Linked DNA regions of Nothobranchius furzeri. The protein of the gene in region 1 purifies or fractionates together with the protein of each later gene. This does not show direct contact. Links are inferred from orthologs where the notes say so. Each region holds a gene or a part of one and is shown in the gene's direction. Other genes may lie near its edges. The genes, in order: sorbs3 and dlg5a.

Evidence for each region.
Region 2: the proteins of sorbs3 (region 1) and dlg5a purify together in Homo sapiens (co-immunoprecipitation; 3 studies listed by BioGRID and IntAct, with this or other methods). This does not show direct contact. The link is inferred for Nothobranchius furzeri from reciprocal best matches to the Homo sapiens genes SORBS3 and DLG5.

The regions. Positions count from the first base shown.
Region 1 is NC_091757.1:39,859,262-39,869,242, forward strand, and holds the end of sorbs3 (vinexin), read left to right. Parts: intron 1-806; coding exon 807-915; intron 916-3,029; coding exon 3,030-3,083; intron 3,084-3,224; coding exon 3,225-3,332; intron 3,333-3,956; coding exon 3,957-4,006; intron 4,007-4,238; coding exon 4,239-4,298; intron 4,299-5,028; coding exon 5,029-5,099; intron 5,100-5,516; coding exon 5,517-5,578; intron 5,579-5,675; coding exon 5,676-5,722; intron 5,723-6,387; coding exon 6,388-6,502; intron 6,503-6,587; coding exon 6,588-6,713; intron 6,714-8,580; coding exon 8,581-9,057; intron 9,058-9,172; coding exon 9,173-9,261; intron 9,262-9,360; coding exon 9,361-9,467; intron 9,468-9,739; coding exon 9,740-9,801; 3' UTR 9,802-9,948; downstream 9,949-9,981. UniProt on the Homo sapiens protein: Vinexin alpha isoform promotes up-regulation of actin stress fiber formation. Vinexin beta isoform plays a role in cell spreading and enhances the activation of JNK/SAPK in response to EGF stimulation by using its third SH3 domain.
Region 2 is NC_091752.1:34,939,122-34,949,568, forward strand, and holds the start of dlg5a (disks large homolog 5a), read left to right. Parts: upstream 1-3,269; 5' UTR 3,270-3,486; coding exon 3,487-3,787; intron 3,788-10,447. UniProt on the Homo sapiens protein: Acts as a regulator of the Hippo signaling pathway.

The DNA.
Region 1 (9,981 bases):
ATTCAAGCATTCATCAGCCTTTGAGTTATTGTTTCTTATGTTGCACCGTCTGTGACTGTAACTGCTCAGTGTTTAACTTAGCCTTTTTAAAATGTAATTCTGTTTGTGTATTATAAAGTGGATTTTAAAATTTACTGTTGTATGTTGTCACTGTCTGTGTATGAAATGTGCTGTTTAAATTAAGCTGCCTCACGTAATTTAACTGCACACGCATAAAAAAGAAAAATAAAATTTTAGTAGTGAACTGTTAGTGGTGCTGGCATGTTTTTCTTTTATTTTTTATTAAGAAGTAAAATTAAATGAAAAGAAGTCATTATTTACCAGGATATAGCTTGACTTGTAGAAATACCAGCAGCACTTTACAATAAATGTCCCTTCATTAACATTACTTAGTGAGTGAGTTAAGTATTAATAAAGAAAGGACACCTATATTAATGCTACCGTTATTGTTAACTATTGCGTTTCCTTTAAGTTAACGCAAAGGGACGGGGATGGTCTGCTTAATAATGCATAATAATATGTTTAAGCAGTTGTTAAAACTTTTTAAAATAGTTTATTAATGCTTAATAATGCACAAAGTAACATTAATGAAGCAACCCTTTTTGTAAAGTGTTACCAAAAAAACCAACCAAAACTTTGCCCATGTGCAGCGGAGAGTAAACGTGTAGGACGGACAAGTTTGGATCTGTTGTTACAGCACTCACAATGAAGCCGAAACTAAGTTGTGTGTGTGTGTGTGTGTGTGTGTGTGTGTGTGTGTGTGTGTGTGTGTGTGTGTGTGTGTGTGTTGGGGTGTTACCTTTCAGGAGCGAGGATGTAGATAAGCTGTCAGACCCCGGAAAGCAACAACCTCAGCCGAGGAGCATTTTCGACTTTGAGCCCGGAAAGAGCCCCACCTCAGAAACTCACAGCCAGGTACGACCTCACACGCAGTCACACGGTTTAAAAATAGACTCTAAGTCCAAAATAAAGTTCTTTTAATCTTTAAATTTCCTCAGCATTGTTGTTGGGACTTATAGGTGCAATTCTCAGTATGGTTTGTTGTCTCAGTCGGTCACGTCTTCTAGGATTATCGTCTGAGCCCTTGTTTTTCATCTTCTCGTGCAACTTATGCAGTACCTGGTAAAGACAGACAATGTTCACCAGAGGGTTCTAAACTCCAGGTGAGCTCATCCCTGTTAGTCATCTCAACAATGATGCATTCAGATTTGCAGAGAAAAAGGGACTAATCTATTGTGGTTTGTACAGAATCAGTTTTTGATGATTTCTCCCATGGTTTTGGCTTTCTGCTGTGATTTATTAGTTATTTTAGTGTTTGTGGGTTTTAATACACCCTGTGAGTTTTCGGGTTGTTTGGGAACACTGCTCCAGATCTGTGGTGCATACTGTGTCTCATCTGAAGAAGAAAATAAATCTTTGTTTCCACTCCCCCATGGGAGCTGATGTGTCTTGTGATTTGTATTATGGTGTTAACCTCTTGTGGTGTTTAATGGCTCACAGCACGGGGACTTCTTTCATTTAGTCTTTGTGGAATTGGCTGAAGCCGTATCCCCTGCATTTAGAAAAGCAGCTCACAGACCATATCAGGTGTTGTGCTGCTTCTCTGTGACATCGCTGTTTGTGCTTGCAGACGGGACGATGAAGGTTTCTGGCATTCAGAGAGACACGTTCAGCCAAGGTTCTACTAAAAAATGAAGCAGTCGTCTGCGGTTCTCACCAACAGGGCCTTTTAAAGTAATGTTCGATCGAATCAGCGGCGAGTGGTGTCAAATATGTGCAGAGAGGGAGTGAACGAGTTATTTCAGCGCTTGTTAAACAGAAAAAAATGTGCTGGTTTATACCTCAGCAGTGTTGAGTCCAAAATGTGCTTTGGCAGGCTATAGATGTTGTACTTTGACCTCTGCATTTTGGAAACTCTTATTCTGAAAGATTATTTAACCCTCTGCAGGCAGGCGTTGCAGATTTGCAACGTTAAAACCTACCTACCTGGCTACTCCACATACATGAGCATTTTTAAACTCAGAAGTACTCCTGAAGGACTTAGTTGTTCGTCCTTTTATCAAGACTTTTTTTGAGCCTGAGAGGGTAAAAAACAGCTTTTGTATGGAAACTGATTTAATTCATGTGTTTTATACCAAACACTCAGAAAATTTTAAGTTTTCACTTAAAACAAAGTCTGTTTGTGGAGTAATTTCATAACTTTTGCTCAACTTGGTAAAATTTCTGTGCCAAAAAGTTTCACGCCTAAACACCGACCTGTTGTGACACCAGAAGAAAATATACGGGGAAACACTCAGATCAGAAAAAGTCATTCAGATCTACGTCAAATAGCTGTCATGGACCCAGCCACCTGGGCTCACAACTGGGAAAGGCTGTTGTTGATTTTCACATCCAGGAGAGAGCAGAGCTCACCTCAGCTAGTGAAGCTAATTGTTAGCATTAGCAACTCCTTCATGTTTGAGTTATTTATGGAGATAAAACATCAGCGTTACAGCGCAAACTGAGTCAATGGTAGAGTTGTGTTGCTGTTAGCCAATTAGAGGCCAGATTTCCACATAGCATGAATGATAATGAGTGAAATTCCAAATCGCGTCGGTTTTCAGCCCCCCTTCCCTCCAGCTAACCTTTTACTTCCTAAAACAGGAGCGCAAGAGCTTTTTTCCACAGAGATCGACTAAGGCATGCACTCATAAACCACCTAATAGTTCCGGAGCATGGCCATGTCTGCAGCTCACCGCTCCCCACGGGGATGGGTCAAATGTGGAGGATAATTTTCACCACACCACACCAGTGTGTGTGACATGTGTATGGGACTTTAATTTAATCTTTAATAATACTAAAAACCAATGCAGATTTTTGAAAAACAAAAAAACAAAAACAAAACAAAAAAAAAACACATTATGTCCCGCTTTAAGGCCACAATCAGTTTATTTCTCTTGTTATCTTCTTTTTCCATTTGGTGCAACAACATCACTAATGTTTAGCTCTAAATCTGCTTCAACTGTGTTCTCTTTTTTCTCTTCTTTTAGACTTTTTTATCCCCAAAGACACAACCCGAGAAACCCAAGTCCCCTTCCATTGAGGTAAGCATCCACAACACAATTTCACGTAGAATTATTTTGTTGACTTTATGAATATTAAAAGTAAACGAGGGCCACTTAAGCTCCAGAACCCCTGCTCTAGCTGTGTTTTATTTATTCCAACTCTTTAATTGCGGGAGTCAGGCCAGTCTGGCGTCTGAGCTGAGTCGATTCGAGGCTGAGCTGGACTCGGAGATTCAGGGCCTGGAGAGGACTCTTTCCCAGAAGAAGCAGCGTCAAGGCCGGGGTGAGGTACTGAGCCTCCCTACCGACTCTTTCTGCCAAATCACCCCCTCTATCTCACCAATCTAGCAGAATTCCCACCCACTCCCGTTCCCTACCCTCCCAGTGAAAGCTACGTGTCAATGAGATCCCTTTGCTTGCTAGCTGAGAACGTGAACATTCTTCTCTTTGACTGCCTGAGAATGGCCTGCCTGCCCTGCACTCAGATTGATCTTCTCTCTTAATCGCCCTCCTGACAGTTCCCCACAGCAAATCTAGACCTGGCTGCCAAAAGAGCAAAAGATAAAAACATAGTTTCCTTTAGATCATATACAACCATAGTGCTGCCTGCTCCTCCTCTTCCCTGCTCCACGGGAACTTTCCAACAGCTCTGATGTCATGTTTGATGTTTCTGTGACAGAACCAGCCTCCTAGGGTTAGCATGAAATCACAGACAGCTCAGACAGATCATGAGCCGTGTTGCTGCAAGCTCGAGGAGGATAGGACCCTGGGGATTTCTTTGCTCACTTGGGAGTGGTCAGCAGCACCTCTACTTTGTCTGAGTTGTTGTGAGATTTCCTCTGAAGTATGAGATGCAGAAGGCTGAGTGGTGCTGCAGAGAGCAACGTCCTAAAGGGTTCCCTCTGCTTACAGGAGGCCAGAAACAGGGATCCAGATCCCACTCCAAAGACTCCCAACCACAGGTTAGTTGATCTACACCGTACCATTTCAATGAAGCTATAAAGATCAAGTTATCAGCTTTTCATCACCTTTTAGTCCAATTTTTCTATAATTTATGAGTATTTTAGTTTTAGAGTGAGATAAATACTTGTGTTCTACGCTTCTCTCTTGTGCGTTTGTCTAAAACTGTTTTATGGGAGGTTTACACCATTGTGACAAGCTGATCCTGTTAATGTGATTCATTCTTTTCACTAGAATACAAACAAACGTGCATGAAGCAAGGCTGCAACTGAAACTGCAATCAACTATAGAGAAGTAGATGCTCGATAATCCATAAAGTTTGCATCATTTAAGCATAAAGAAGCTGAAAAATCAGGGTTAAGCCGCCCCCACCCTCCCCAGTCCACTTTCATGTTGCATCGTTGTTTAGTTGAAATCACAGCAGACCTCCTGCTGATTCAGGAATCCAAGTGTTATAGTTGTGTGTTAGATTAATATGTGACTTAGTGTTGGGCAGCTGTCAGGTAAACAAATTAAGTTTCCACTAACTCATTTCTCACCTTGTGTGTAATGCATTCCTGAAGAGTTCATGCTGCTGTTTGCTAAACTGAGCAATTGTTTCCAATCCTGAGGGGATTTCACTAAGAATGTGTAAATTTAAAGCATGTAGCAGCTACGATTCTTCTGTCCGCCTGCCAAACACTGAAAAACAAAAGGAAAGCTGGAATCTGTGGGTTAGGAGATAAAGCTCAACACAGAAACACACCTGTTCCTGGTCATGAATAGAGCTTCATGAAGCTCATTGAAACAAGATTTCCAGTGAAAAAGGATAAAATCTTGTCTGATAATTTGTTTCTTCTCCATTCAAAAATATCAAAACCAGCTGCAAACAGTTGATGTACACTGTAAAGCTGAGGGAAAGTGCCGGATGCATCTATTCCCTGCTGTATTCAGCCTTTTTTTGCTCTTAGAAAGTCCTCCACTGGACCAGAAAACTAATAAAACCTCAAAAGTTAATTTATGTCTATCTTTTTCACATTTTCAGGAATTTGCCAGCATCAAAGCAGCCTGACCTGCATTCTGGTGGCCCATTAATAACATCTGCTCCTGCACATGGTAAGAAAACAACCTCTTTATCTGTTTGGATGTTTTTCTCTGTGTAACTGTCTCCCTTCAGCGACCATCCCACTGATCTAATACGTTTGATAAAAGCATCGAGTAATCTAATATTGTATGACGGTCTCATGGTTTGGCTTTGTTGCTGGTGGTGTCTTCTGCTCTGGTGTTGCCCTCATTAGACCGTTTTCCCTTCTCTATGGAAACAGCTGTAGATGGGTGGGGAGGAAGCTCACAAAAATAGGAAGTGAAACTCGGAAGAACTGATTGAAGATTAACTTCATCCCGTTTCTTTCCCTGGAAATGTAGCATCCCTAGAGCTTTTGAACTTGTTCTGGCTGTAATGGCAACACGCTTAAGAACAAAACGCAGAACAAAAGAGTTCAGTGTTTAGAGCCTTCTTGTTGTGCTCCACAGTAGAACGTCTTCCATCTGCAAATGAAAACATGGAGTTCCCATCAAAGAAAGAAGAGAAAAAGGTACGTCTGAACTAATTCTAGTCACTGGAAAAGCTGCAAAATGTAAAATGAACGTTTTCTGATAGTTGCAGTATGAATGTAAATCTTCCTATTTTAGATGAAAGCTGCAAGAGCCAAGTTTAATTTCCAGGCTCAGTCTCCCAAGTGAGTAGTTCTTCATCAGATTCTTTCAACGTGATAATTTTATAATGATGTGGTAAACCTTAAAGGTACAATAAGTAAGACTCTTACTGTGCAATAATCACTAAACAGTCTAATGTGTCGATCATGTTGGAAGGAAGGTTACATTAAAACAGATTTAATTCTCAGCTTTGTCAGTTTTCCTCCTTTCAAAAAAGCTAAAGAGGGACATAGTCTTTGTTTACAATCGCTGAGCCTGCAGGGTTACAGAGTCTGTGCAGCTGCTCTATGGAAACAATGTTACCCAGTAGCAGGAGCGACCCAGAAGTTGCTTCTTGTGCCCCCAAGAAGCCGCAGCGTCTATTTGGTTTACTCTAATATTGGGTACAGTAGGGTAGTGGCTAATGCTGAGCTAACAATTCTAATGGCTTATAAACTTACAGTGTATGACTCGTCTTCGCTCGTCATCTAGAATCTTCTGGCGTTGAGCCGTAACTGGCAACAGCCATGAAACTCACGATCAGGAGGGAGGAGAGTCACACATTTGTTTTGAAACATGGACTGCAGTACCCACATCTGTCCACAGGATGCCATTCTTACTTCATGTACCTTTAAATCTTACTCCGATGATATTTTAAAAGAAAATCTCAAATCAGGAACTTAGATTGCACGCTTTCTCCTACACTCAGGGAGCTCACACTGCAGAAAGGCGACATTGTTTACATCCACAGGCAGGTCGATGCCAATTGGTTTGAAGGGGAGCACCATGGTAGAGCTGGGATCTTCCCCACTTCTTATGTAGAGGTGAATTATGTCATTTAACGCCAGATCTTATTGAAGTACTTTGTGTTATAAAGGCTACTGAGTTATGGTTTATGTGTATTTTTAGGTTCTGCCTCCGACAGAGAAGCCAACACCCTTAAGGTCTCCCACTCTTCAGGTGCTGGAGTACGGCGAAGCTGTAGCTCTGTACAACTTCAACGCTGACCTACCTGTTGAACTTTCTTTCCGTAAAGTGAGTCGTTCTCTTGTCCGGTCCACACATTGAGCCAAAATGGTGAAGTAGAATAGCTTTTCTGACACCTAGAAGAGTTTAAGAACATTTTCACATTTTTCTTATGTGATCTAATGTTTCTAGTAAGATGTTAACATACATGTTGTGTGCTGTAAGTATGGAGCAGCGTAGATCTAGCCATCTGGACAAAAAGCAAACAGCTGTCTTGGCGTTGTACTGTTCTGTTTGTTAAATCCATCCAACCAGAGGGATCAAAACAACGTGTTGTGCTGATTTTCTCTTGGCAGAAACATGGGAACAGTTTGGAGAGGAGCTAATTGGATGCTGAGAGGAGCGTCCTATTTTGGCACACAGATGACACATTAACATATTCTTTAGAAAAATGTGATTACATTTACCAAGAGCATAAGGTCTTAAATAAGCTGTTTTTTAAACTCCAGGACTTACATCAGAGAAATTCTAATTATAAATCTGAGTATGATTTAAAAGAGATCAACTTTTCCTATTTTTAAATCATTTTATTGAGCCAGTTTGTGCTAGATTGACCTGTAAAAGGATTAAATAAATGTCACTCAGACCCCACCACCACCTGTGGCCAGAATACCGGACTTGCAACTTATCTGGACCACTCCCTGTATGGTCCTACTTTAGTCTTAGTAATGTGGAGCTGGCGTACCTGGCGCTGCAGTCTGCTTCCAGCATGGTTACTGCTTGTTTTAGATCATGAACACAGCTTCTTTGTTTGATTTAGTGATGAGTCGCTCCTGCAGACACTAATGGAGGCTGCAGAGTCATTTCAGCAGTTAGATTAAGGTGTTAAAAATGCAGAGCAAAGAAAAGAGTTTCACTTTCGGTTTTACAACTGTGGATTGATAATGGACTCTAGGGAGTGCTAACAGCAAGCCAAAACTGCATGGTTTCCCTCAAACTCAAAGATAAAGATGTTCTAACTTCACTTGGCCAAAGTTAACAGCTCTCAGGTTTGTAGACATCTACCTGATTTTAATGTGAGACTCCATTATGCAAAACATTATTATGGAAGCTGCTCCAGCCACACGATGGCCTGATTACTACCAGACCTGAAAATTTAAGAAATCACATTAGCACAACCATCTGACAACAGGATGTTGGTTAAATATATATATATATATATATATATATATATATATATATATATATATATATATATATATATATATATATATACACATATAAACACACACATTGTGCTGCTTTCTGAAGAAAGACAAGACAGAAAAACAGAACAACATTAAAATTGCCGCAGACCTCATTTTGTTCTGGTTAGAGCAGAGTTTATAGAATAGAATAGAATAGAATAGAATAAAATAGCCTTTATTGTTGTTGTACAGCAAAATTGGAGTGCCACTTCCTTTGGTACAAAATGTAAAAGAAAACAAGAAAATAACACAGAAATAACATGAATGTAAAATCAACAGTAGTGTTTACAAATACACACACAGAGTAGCAGCATTTATGATGTAGCAGCAGTTCATGATTGAAGAATAAGACAAGAGGCTAAAATGTCCTCATGGAAGAGCCTCAAGTCTAAAGCTCTGATGACCCAAAGAAACATAAGGGCCTGTTTCACATTTGCCAAACACATCTTGATGATTCTGAAGACTTTTAGGAAAGTGTTTAATAGGCTGACAAGACACAAGTGGAACTTTTTGAGTGTGTGTGACCCGTTACATCCCGTGTAAAAGGTTTTATTTGACACGCATTTTTGCTTTATTTTAGTTTTGCTTGGAATCTAATCAGGCTGATGTAGCTGTGGCGTTTTTGCACCCCAGAGCCACCATACATATGTCTGATCTAACCTTTGACCCTTGCATTACCTCTCCTTCAGGGTGAGGTGATCGACATAACAAGATGCGTCGACGATAAGTGGTTGGAAGGCAGGATCTCGGGAACGAGCCGGAGCGGCATCTTCCCAGCCAATTACGTCCAGGTCAACAAGATGCCCCGCACCAAATACTCCACAGATGACTGCCCATCAAGCCCCATGTCTCCCACGTCCCCTGGACCGCAGAGTCCAGGGCGTCCTCTCCACTCCCCATTCACCCCCACTTCCCTGAGCCCCAAACCTGAGCACTCCCCCATCAAACTGTCCTCACCTGTTTCATGTGGCAGCCCAGCCTCACAATCACGCTCCCCCACCCAGACACCCTACCGTTTTCCCCACAGCACCAACCAGAACAACCACATGGCTCCACCTCACTGCCCCAGCCAGATCTCCACAGTTAGAACGGCTTCTCTTTCCTCTCAGTCGTCGGCGCTCAGATCTGGAGCTCCCACGGCGAACAGATGCACAGATCCCTCACAGGTGTGCTCTCACGCCTCCCTGCATGCCCACACCTGTGTTTTCCCTGTTTGCCTTCACGGAGCATGGCTCGTTATTTATTAGGACATACTGCCTGACATGTTTGTGTTTTTCCCAGGGTGCCGTCCCAAACCAGAGCGCTCTTTCTAGTCTTCATGTGAACTCACTCATCAGCAACACTGGTTCAGCGGTGACGCAGCATCAGCCGTACGTTTGTGTTTTTGTGACATCAACACAGAACAGAACAAGGGGTGCAGCTTTAGTGCAAACCCTGGCTAAGACTTATATGTTGACTTTATCTTCTAGGTATAAAGCTATTTACAACTACAAGCCACAGAATTTAGACGAGTTGGAGCTCAGAGAAGGAGACATCGTTCAAGTATTGGAAAAATGTGATGATGGCTGGTTTGTAGGTAAAGATTTTTATTCTCAAGATTAAAAGACATTCAGTGTTTGAAGTCAAAATTTAAGGTAACCCTTTAGCAGAAGACTGGTGATCAGATACATTGTACATATAGTGACTTGGTTGATAAGTGACTGTGGTCTGAGGAGTTCAGGAAAAAAGTTTATTTGAGTTAGATCCCCCTCTAGTGGACACAATAAAACACCGCAGGTAGATTTTTAGAAATGTTCTCAAAATATTTTGTCTCTGTTGTGTGACAAAACTTTTTTCTGCTTTCCGTAGGTACGTCACAACGGACTCGTGCGTTTGGGACTTTTCCTGGGAATTACGTGGCACCGGTTTGACTTCCTCACTTGCTTTTGCCGTCTTCCATCAGGACCCTCACAAATTATCAGATGAAAATCTCCTGGACCTGTTTTGGCTTACTTTTACTGAACCCTGCATGTTCACCCCGTTCCCAAAAGAAAAGGGAAGGACAACCATGTGGTTTCACTCCTTAACTTCCTGCATGCGTGTGCACTTAC
Region 2 (10,447 bases), on another chromosome or scaffold:
GAACTGATGACAGCTGTTAAGCTGCTTTGGCCACATTAAACAAGTCCACAAAGCCACACTGGAAGAATACATTTGGAACATGTCACGCTAACAAATTACAGAGAAAGTTTTAGGCTTCGAAAACACATGCAAGGGTTTTAACCTTTAGAGTTTGGATGGAGATTAGAGTAAATTATGTCAGATGTGAGAAGATTGTTTGGATCCTAAAGATAATACCACAATGCTTTGACATGTTTCTGCAAAATTCACAATTTTGATGTGAAGATTATAAACCGCTGATCTGTTCGAAGGTGTCCAGCTCAACACTATTTCACAGTTAATTTAAAACCTGCAAATTGAGTTGCCTGATTTAACATTTCTAATCATCTGGGGCTTCTTTCACATGATCTTAGCATGTGCTGGGGCAGAGGAACACAAAGGAAACTCATCACCAACCAGTGGTGGATTTAGCGATTTGGGGGCCCAAGGCGAACACAGACATGGGGCCCCTTACACTAAATATTCGGCAATCTTACCTTTAACTGGATTTGCGAAACTCTCCCCTCTTCTGACAAGAGTTACTTTCACTTTTTATTAGTCCTCTTTTCCTGTCTTTCTCTCCCTTTGAGTGTCTTCAATGTTTGCTCTGCTTTCTTCTTCCTGTCAGTGCTCCTGTGCTTTTGCCTTTGTTATTTGTTTTTCTATTTTCCATTTTGGTCTATGTTTTCCTCCCTTGAAACATTTTCCATTGTCTTTCCTTTCTGCTCCTTTTTGATGTTTACATAGAAAAACAACATCACTTTTGGAAGTGAAGATAAAATCTTTTTTAAAGCAAACTGCTTCTTTCTCTTATTGGAGCCACTAAGATAACTCAATTTCATGCTTAATGTTTTGACTACCGCTTCGAGTTTGTTACGAACGCTCCCGCCTCTCTTTTTCTTTTTCTGCTTTTTCTTCTTCTTCTTCTTATTTGTGGTCTTATGGCACTTGGCAAATAACAATTTGGTGCATTACTGCCACCAACTGGATTGGAGTAGAATGACTAACAATCGCTTCCTGTTTGTGAATTGGTGTCTTTAAGGAATAGTCCATTGTGGGATTAAAAGAGGGGTGCCGGTTGTCAGAGTGAGGGGGCGCCCTTATGTTGGGGGCCCCAGACGGCCACCGACCTATGCCTAATGGTAAAACCGCCACTGTCACCAACACAACATTTCAGAAAACAACATTTCTCAGAACAACCACAAATGTGCTGTTTTTGCTTAGTTCTTTTATTAAGCTCTGACATAAAATAATGAACTTTATGTGTAACGTTGTGGATTTTATAAACCCTAAAATCATTGTTGTGCCGTTCTTGGCTCGGACAGATTCAGCTGAATCTCCTCTCAGACAAACAGTGAAAAGAAAACTATAAAATTTTCTCTCTGAGAAAGGGACGGGATAAATGATGGATATCCTTGCTGACAGTCTCTTCAATAAAAGATAAGGCTATTATCTGCCCCGTTCTAGGCTGTCCTATAAACAAATCTTGTTTAACAATTTCCAGTGAATCATCAGACAGCCAGAAACACCGCTATCCTTGTCTAAACAATAAATTCATTCATACCCTCAAGATAAAAAAAAGCATTAGGCTGTCCTCCTAATTCATATGTATGTCCTCAGAAAAAAGGGAACAAACGCTGCTGTCCAATCCGTGTCAGCAGCAGAAACCTGCTTCCCTTTGATATGAATGAATTGTAATTAATTTTTCATCCGAACGAATGGCACATGGTTGCACAAGCCGTGCAGCCAGCGTGGCAGAGAGACAGAAGGGAGGGGATAGAGTAGATGTCACAGTGAGATTCAGTGAGTGCATGAATAAGGTCATGGTTTGAGAGGTATGGCTGCAGACGCCTGTCTCTGTGCCAACAATCTATTCAGCTGCAGAAGGTGCACCCGCCGTCATCAACATATCCTCTCTTAATGCAAATTTCATTTGTCATCATATTTAATTGTTCGTTAACTATGAAGCTACCGCCCTCATATTTCTCATCTATCATGGGGATATAGTACTCACTAAAAATGATGCATGCAGCTATTGTGCAGTATGTCTTTATGATTTCATGGACATTTTCCTTAAACAAAACACGTAAGTGAACCAAGTCATTGGCCTTCTGATGATAAAATGTTTTCATGGTAAATATAAAGATTAATATAGTTAGTTGTGTTTACATACAGATACATGCAATTACACATGTTTATTTCTATCAATTGTTGTAGTGCATGCAAATTCTGCCTTAAAAAAAACGTGATTTCTGCACTAAAATGAACTGTATTCACATCCAAAATGGATGTGCTCTTTTTCAAGGCTTCAAACATGACTGAAAACTGTCTCCCTAAGAAGTGTGAGCAGTTCCTTTGTGATTCTTTAATTGATCAAACATCTAAATATACAGTACATTGCAAATATTGCATTTGCATTTAGAAGCATCCTTTCGGTCAAAGAGGAATGACGGAAAAACCAGACAAATTCACTAAATACAATAGAAAATTACATCTGGCTGAATAAAGATCCCGGCCTCTTAAAACAACAAGATGAATGTGCTTCTGAGTAACCAGCAATTATTGCAAAACTGTTGTATTAATTTTAATTTGTTGTTATAAATAAGTATTTAGGAGAGCAAATGCAAAAGCCTTGTATTCTTTTTCTTGCATATGTTTATTTTTCTTATTCTGTTAATAACTAAGAAATAGTTGAATATGCTTTTGTAAGTTTTAGTTTTATGAGTAAATTAAATGAATTGTATTTTCATCTACATCGTGGAAGTTAACTACAACAGTTTTAATCTGATTTCCGGTAATAACCGTGATCAGTACATTAACCATAACGGCTTCATATGTGGCGAAAGTTTGAAATTTATTGGAAATTTTCTTCATTCTCATGTTTTTTTTTCCCCACCTGGGATTTTCAACGTACTACGGCCCAGTGTGTACGCCCATTGAAGAAAGAGGCGTGTTTCCGGCCAGACTCCGCCCTATTTGACCATATTTGGTCATTGAACGAGTCGTTGATTGACATCGGGCAGCAGCTGCTGAGTTGCTCAGACATGGCGGAGGGTACAGTGTAACTGAGGCTCAGCGGCGGAGTTACGGGAGTTTTTCCAGCAGTTGACTCGGCAAAGGGCGCATAAAATGATACAAGGAGGAGAGGAAATGTTCTCAGCGACAGCGTACTCCGAGGGGAAGCAGAAAACAAGCTGAACTGCTACACGTTAGTAAGATGGGAAAATGCATCGCTGTTTAGTGCAGTCAACAGCCTTGGGCAACAAATATGGCTTCTTGTGCCTTTTTCAATATGCTATTAAAGAGGATCTCCCATGCAACTTAATGCCGTGGTGGCTCTGGCGAACTTCTGCAAGCCGCGGTAAGTTCACTTCAATCATCGCTCGGTACTTTTGATCGGTAGGGATCTTCCATCCACTTGAGCCGTCTGGGTTAGCTGGGAAAGCTACGGAACTACAGCGGAGAGCAATGGAGCCAAAGCACAAAGAGTTGCTAGACCAGTACCACCAGAACTTATTGGAGTCCATAACAGATGCCGACCGAGTCATCGAGTTGCTGGTAGTCTCTGGTACCTTAAGCCAACTCGACAAGTTCGAGCTGGAGCAGAACTGCTCATCTAGCGCCGAGAAAGTCGACCACCTTTTGAAGATGCTGATGAACAAGGAGAGCGACCATTTCCTCGACCTGTGTGTGGCCCTGGAGAAGGCGTACCCTGACCTGTACGCTGCCCTGTTCGGTAACAACGGGGGACCAGTGGACCACTCCACCGGTAAGAGTTCACACGTCAACTATTCCCCAATGAGATTTTACTAGAATCCCAAATAAACGAGTAGTCCAGTCCTAACATAGCTGTTCTCCTGCAAGTGTGGTCAAATCTGGGTGGTCTGGTGCAATAGGAGGGTGTGTGCGCGTGCATACAATAAAGTAATGCAAGGATCAAAGCGTCTTATGCAGCTGCATGTAAATTTTCCAACGTGTTGCAATGACATACATGAATCCACAGAGTTGTGTAAATTAAAATATAGCAGTTGAATGAAATAGTTACCTTGACCTGCACATTTAATTCACTTTCTGCTTTTAACTTCATCCAAGGACAAATTTGCATCACTCACACCCATCATGCTGCACAAAAAACTCCTTCATGCAAACCTTTTATGTGCACTCTTTAAATGTATTCACATTTACCGTTATCCACCGTAAAAGCCTCTTCCGCCATCAGCTGCACAGGGTTAGTAGATGGGTAGCCTGAGTTGTTTCCATGACAACGGTCTTACTACTGACATGTTGGTTCATATCAACCTGTACATGGGTGTTCAAGCAGCCTACCCGTGCATGCTTAAAGCATCTTTCATATCAAGTGAAGAGGAAATCTTATCTTAAGCCGTTTAGCCCGATATGTCGGCGGCGGTGCATTAATGCCACATTTTTTAATTCGATTCATTGTACTCATTTGATTTGTGCCCTTTTCCCTCCCAGCAACTGCCTTCACTTCAGTGGTTTTGGTTGCTGTTTCCCAGAGACAAAGGCCAGCCAAGTGTAAAAACCATGTCTAGTTTTGCCTGTTTTGTTTTGTCTCAATGACTAAAGCCAGTCAGTGGCTTTCTTACAACCAGCGTCATGCCCTGAGGGTTTGAATGCAGGATGAGCCCTGGGATCCAGAAGTAGGGAGAAGATGCAGAGAATGACTCCTCTTTGGCAGACAGCGTTTCAGAAATAAACTCAAAGTTTCAGGTGATGTTTGAGATCCCAGCATAGCTGTAGATTTATTTTGAAAGGCTTGTTTACTGTTCCTGTGTGTCTTGGTCTAAGTAGACCCTTGCAGGTAGTGCTGAGCTGGTTTCTTGCTGCTCTGCTCTGCTGACAGGATCATTAATGCTTCCTTAAGCTTTATTACTTCCTTGTATTGAGTGTTGGTGCTGCAGAATTACACTTGGCAGTGTGGGTTTGAGCTTTTCTCCACACACACATACACACACCTTTTTATTCTGTAGCACTGGGCCTCAAAGTTGACATGTCTTGTGTTTGGAAATACCGTGCACAAGTACTAAGCCTGGCTTGTCAGTCAGTGGTTATTCAACAGAGGATTAGGCCCTGCTCCCCTCAATCTGGTGCACACTTTCTCTCTGAGATGCTTTTTAATGCATCCAGTCATGTGTATCAGCCACTGTGCTTGTGGCATTCATTTTTTAAGTAAATCATTACAGTTTTCATATAGCTGATTTTTATTTTATTTTTTAATTTGGGAGGCATTCTGGTGTCCTGATTATGAAGATCTAACCCAATCTTGTTGGAAAGAAACCAACGAAAAGCCTCTCACCATCTTCCTTCTAGTACAGAAGCGCGTGGAAAAGGCTCATGGGGATGAAATCTTCAGAGCCTCTGAGTGTTTGTGAACAACACTGGGTGTGTGAAGAGAGGGAATCTGAGTGTGATGAGTCTTGCTGATAGCAACCTGCTCTCAGCTTGTCCTCTGCTCATGCTGCCTGTCTGCTCTTGTTCTCTGATGTGCTTCCTATGCCAGCTGAGCCTCCGAAGATGCGCGCATATGCAATCACCCGAAGACAACATTGTCCCACCAAAGGAAAAAAACAAGCAGATGCCCGCATTAATACTCGATGTTTGATGCGTAGGCTGTGTGAATTATTTGTGTTTTTCTTTCAACCTGCAGCATGTTTTCTGTAGAGGTTGTGCAAATGTATCCTCATTATTTCGTGAATCTGTGCTCCTTCAAATGATGGCTCATCCTTTTGGAAGAACGTATCTCACTTGGATAAAATTGCACTGTAGTGATTTGCTCAGATTGTTGAGTGCTGCTGAAGTTTCAGCAGAAGCTAGTGTGTTAAGTTTTCAGGTGGAAGGGTTGTTAATCTAAGCAGCCGTAATGAAGCTGTTTTTATGTCTTGGCCTGTGTGCTCATGTTCCTGCACTGCTTGAGCCGCATTTACCTCAAAAACGGAATAGTAAAGCTATACCTGCAACCCTCCACTCTTTACCTCACACACTGTGCATCATCAAAAGCACCGTTTTTCTGTTTACTCTGTGTTTGTGTTGTCGGATCTTTGATCCTGTGGTTTGTTGTCCTGTCCTCTGAATCACCATTTACTTTACTACAACCCACTTTATGTATTTTCTCCCACTGAGTGTTTTTATTTCTCTACACCCTTAAATAAAGGGACTCACCAGAGAGACAGCGGAGGGTGATAGAAAGAGGGAGGAAGAGTGAGGCAGACAACGGGGCTTTTGTTGAGAAGTTGAGCAGGCCCAAAGTGCAGAGTCAGCAGCTTGCTCTGTGTACAGCAGCCTAGGACATGGGCCAGTGTTTTTGTGTTACTGGAGGGGGGGTGCTGTACCCTCTGTCACAGAGTTTCTGTCCTATTCCATAAACCATGGTGGGCAGACGGGATGAGTTATGACCCTGGAGCTCTTTGTCACAAACACAGCTCTTAAATATCTCCCAAGAGATGGACCTGGCTTCACTTTCTTCGTCACTCACTGTCTGCGTCAGTTTCTGTCATTCAGTGACGCACGCTGTCTCTTACCTTGTCATCTCAATTTCTTTCGGTTCACCACTCTTTGGATCTCAGTGCTGCTTTGCCAATGTGCAGAGGGAGCCATCAGTTCATCATATTTAGAGGAGCAGTAACGAAAGGTTGACCTTATGGTTTCCTCGGATCATTATCTCCATAGTTCCAGTAGAAAGATGTCACCACTGCCTATTGTTGCAAGTGTTCTCTTTTTCACTTGTGATGAAATCAGATTGTTGATTTGAGAACCACAACCAGGAGGCATTAACTCATTCGCTGCCAGCCGTTTCCTGATCAGTAAAGCCCTTCGCTGCCAGCGTTCCTCACCGTTTTTACTGGGTACATATTTAAGAGTCACAAAACGTTGCGCGTTAGGATGATGTAGATGCCAAAACAACCAAATCAAAGCGGAGACTCACCTCTTACATCAGAAAGAATTTGCGCATTTTGAGCGTTATCCGTTCTTTCACAATCAGTTGTTAAATTGTGATCAGCAGAAGCTTTTCCGGTTCGCGCCTCACCTTTTTTACAGCAGCGGCCCAAAACGATCTCCTAACACATGGATTTTCTGCTTCCGGATTTTTTGCTTCCTGATCACGAGACGTGTGACGTATGCGGATTAAGATCAGCTTTAGAGCTGAGATGTTTATTCTCATGGTGCGGGAGCTTGTTCCGATGCCCACACAGTAAAAAAAAAAAAAATGCAAATGACGACTTTAGTCATGATTGGCAGTGAATGAGTGAATGTGGAACAGGACCATTTTACACATATTCCACTTCCTCACCACGCTCTAATTACTCTTCAGAGTAGAGAAAATGCCAGAATATACAAGTGCTGGTCAAAAAATTAGAATATCATGACGATTCATTGCATTAATTCCATTCAAAAGTGAAACTTGAATACATATTGAATTCATTACACACAGACATGTTTATTTCTTTTTATTTTGATGATTATGACTGACAACTAATGAAAACCCAAATTCAGTATCTCAGAAAATTAGAATGTTGTGAAAAGATTCAATATTGAAGAACACTGGTGCTACACTCTTATCAGCTAATTAACTCAAAACACCTGCAAAAGCCTTTAAATGGTCTCACCCTAGTTCTGTAGGCTACACAATCATGGGGAAGAATGCTGACTTGACAGGTGTCCAAAATACAACCAATGACACCTTGCACAAGGAGGGCAAGACACAAAAGGTCATTACTAAAGAGGCAGGCTGTTCACAGAGCTCTGTGTCCAAGCTCATTAATCGAGGCAAAAGGAAGGATAAGATGTGGTTGAAAAAAGTGTACAACAATAGGGATAACCGTACCCTGGAAAGGATTATGAAACAAAACCCCATAAAAATGTGGGGGAGATTCACAGAGTGGACTGCAGCTGGAATAGGTTCTTCCAAGAACCACTGTGCACAGATGTATGCAAGACATGGGTTTGAGCTGTTGCATTCCTTGGGTCGAGTCACTCTTGAACAAGATACAGTGTCAGTAGCGTCTCACCTGGGCTAAAAACAAAAAAGACTGGACTGCTGCTGAGTGGTCCAAAGTTATGTTCTCTGAAAGTAAATTTTGTATTTCCTTTGGAAATCAAGGCCCCAGAGTCTGGAAGAAGAGAGGATAGGCACAGAATCCATGTTGCTTGAGGTCCAGTGTAAAGTTTCCACAGTCGAGGATGGTTTCCAACAGGACTTGGCACTTGCACACAGTGCCAAAGCTGGTTTAAGGACCATGTTCTTCACTATCCCTGTTCTTGATTGGCCAGCAAACTTGCCTGACCATAACCCCATAGAAAATATGTGGGGTTTTGTGAAGAGGAAGCTGTAATACACCAGACTAACAATTCAGAAGAGCTGAAGGCCATGCCATGCCACATTGCTGCAGTAATCCAGGCCAAAGGAGCCCCAACTAAATATTGAGTGCGGTACATGCTCATGCTTTTCATGTTTATACTTCTCAGTTGGCCAACATTTTAAAAATGTATTTTTTTGCATTGGTCTTAAAGTAGCTTTCCGGAGTTTTCCCCTTTCAGAAATTATGTGTGATTTTTCAGAAATCCGTAGAAGTGATTGTCTTATCATGTACTGTGATATAATGTAAGCAATACGTCTTTTTTTTTTTTTTTTTGCTAAGCACGCCCCTGCCCCGCAGAGCTCTGTGCAATAGGAAACTGAGTGTCTACCAGAACTAACCAATAGCGTTAGACTACTGCTTACATTCTTCACATTTATGGAAGTACCTCAGCTGATGCAGAGTTGATGAACTTTTCACAATGTTTAAAATATAAATGTATAAAAACGTAACACGACATAAGAATAATACTTGCAAAACGTGTTTAAGCCGGCTACAGAAGCACAAAGAAATGTGAAGTCGCCATCTTAAAAAAACGGATCAAGACTATTTGTGTGATATGCTTGTCAGCCACTAGATGGTGCAATCAGATAAGAGAAATACTCCGGAAAGAAACTAATTGATATTGTAATATTTTGAGATACTGACTTTGGGATTTTCATTAGTTGTCAGTAGGGATGCACAATATATCTGCGTCAAAATCGGTATCGGCCGATGTTAAGTCATTTTTTTTAAGATATCTGTATCGGTCCGATAAATAAAATTGGACCGATATTAACAACTGATATTTTTTTCATCTTGTTTCCCTTTGTTTATCTGTTTCAGAGGATAAAGGGGGTGATGAGTGTGGTATTTTTAGTCATGTGACAGTGATTGTTAACATCTCAGAAGCGTAAATGAGTGAGGTGTGTACACAATAACGTAAATTCAGCTTTAATAATTTTCAGTCTATACAAAATCTGCTGATTTCAGAGGCATTAATGTCCGTATATCGGTATAGGCCATAACAGTGATATTCATATCGGTATCAGCCCATAAATTTCATATCGGTGCATCACTAGTTGTCAGTTATAATCATCAAATGAAAGAAAAAAATCTTTTGAAATATATCAGTCTGTGTATAATGAATGAATCTAATATACGAGTTTCACTTTTTGAATGGAGTTGGAATGTGCTATGAGCAAAGCAGTTGACTGCTATGACCACAGCCAATGGGCTACGGGCAGAGCACCGCACAGCCACGTTAGCATAATACGACGGAGCACAAGTTCAAAGTACATCGAAGACATTCGTTAAACATCAAGTATGAACAAAGTTTCAAATATAAACAAAGTTTTTAACGACTGTACTTATAAACTGCCAAAACAGTGCTTCTCAGTTAAGTGTTGACTTATCACAAAAGTCAGCCATTTGTGGCTATGGGCGCGCCCTCGTGGCTGTGGCTACAATTGGAGCTCGACCTCGCTCTAAAAATAATAAAATAACCTGTTGAAAAGCACTAGAATGTGAGAAATGACTTCAGCTAAACACATTTTTTTGTGGGGGACCCCTAGACCAACACCCCTGTCACCCCAGATCCTCTCTCTGCCTGTCACTTCAGAGCTGAAGACAAAGCTGAGACGTGGCTGAACATGTGTCGGTCTTTGCCTATTCTTAGAGGAGCAGAAACTTGTTAGCAGAAGGTAAACAAAGGCTTTGCTACTATGTGTAAAAACAAGATTCTCAACTTTATATAGAATCAGGTGTCGGTCATTCTGACAGACTGGGGTTTCTCCGAAGCATGCAGGTGAGCAGACATTTCCAATGGAGAACATCATCAAATCAAATCAACTTTATTTAGCACTTTTCATACAAAAAAAATGCAACTCAAAGTGCTTCACAGATTAAAATGGCCCCACAGATCCCATATTCCCATCCCAGCCCCTCTCCCCAAGTGTAAAACAATTGACAATTACGGTTCCCCTCCCGCACCCAACTTCCTAAGTGGACAGACAGACAGACAGACAGACAGACAGACAGACAGACAGACAGACAGACAGACAGACAGACAGACA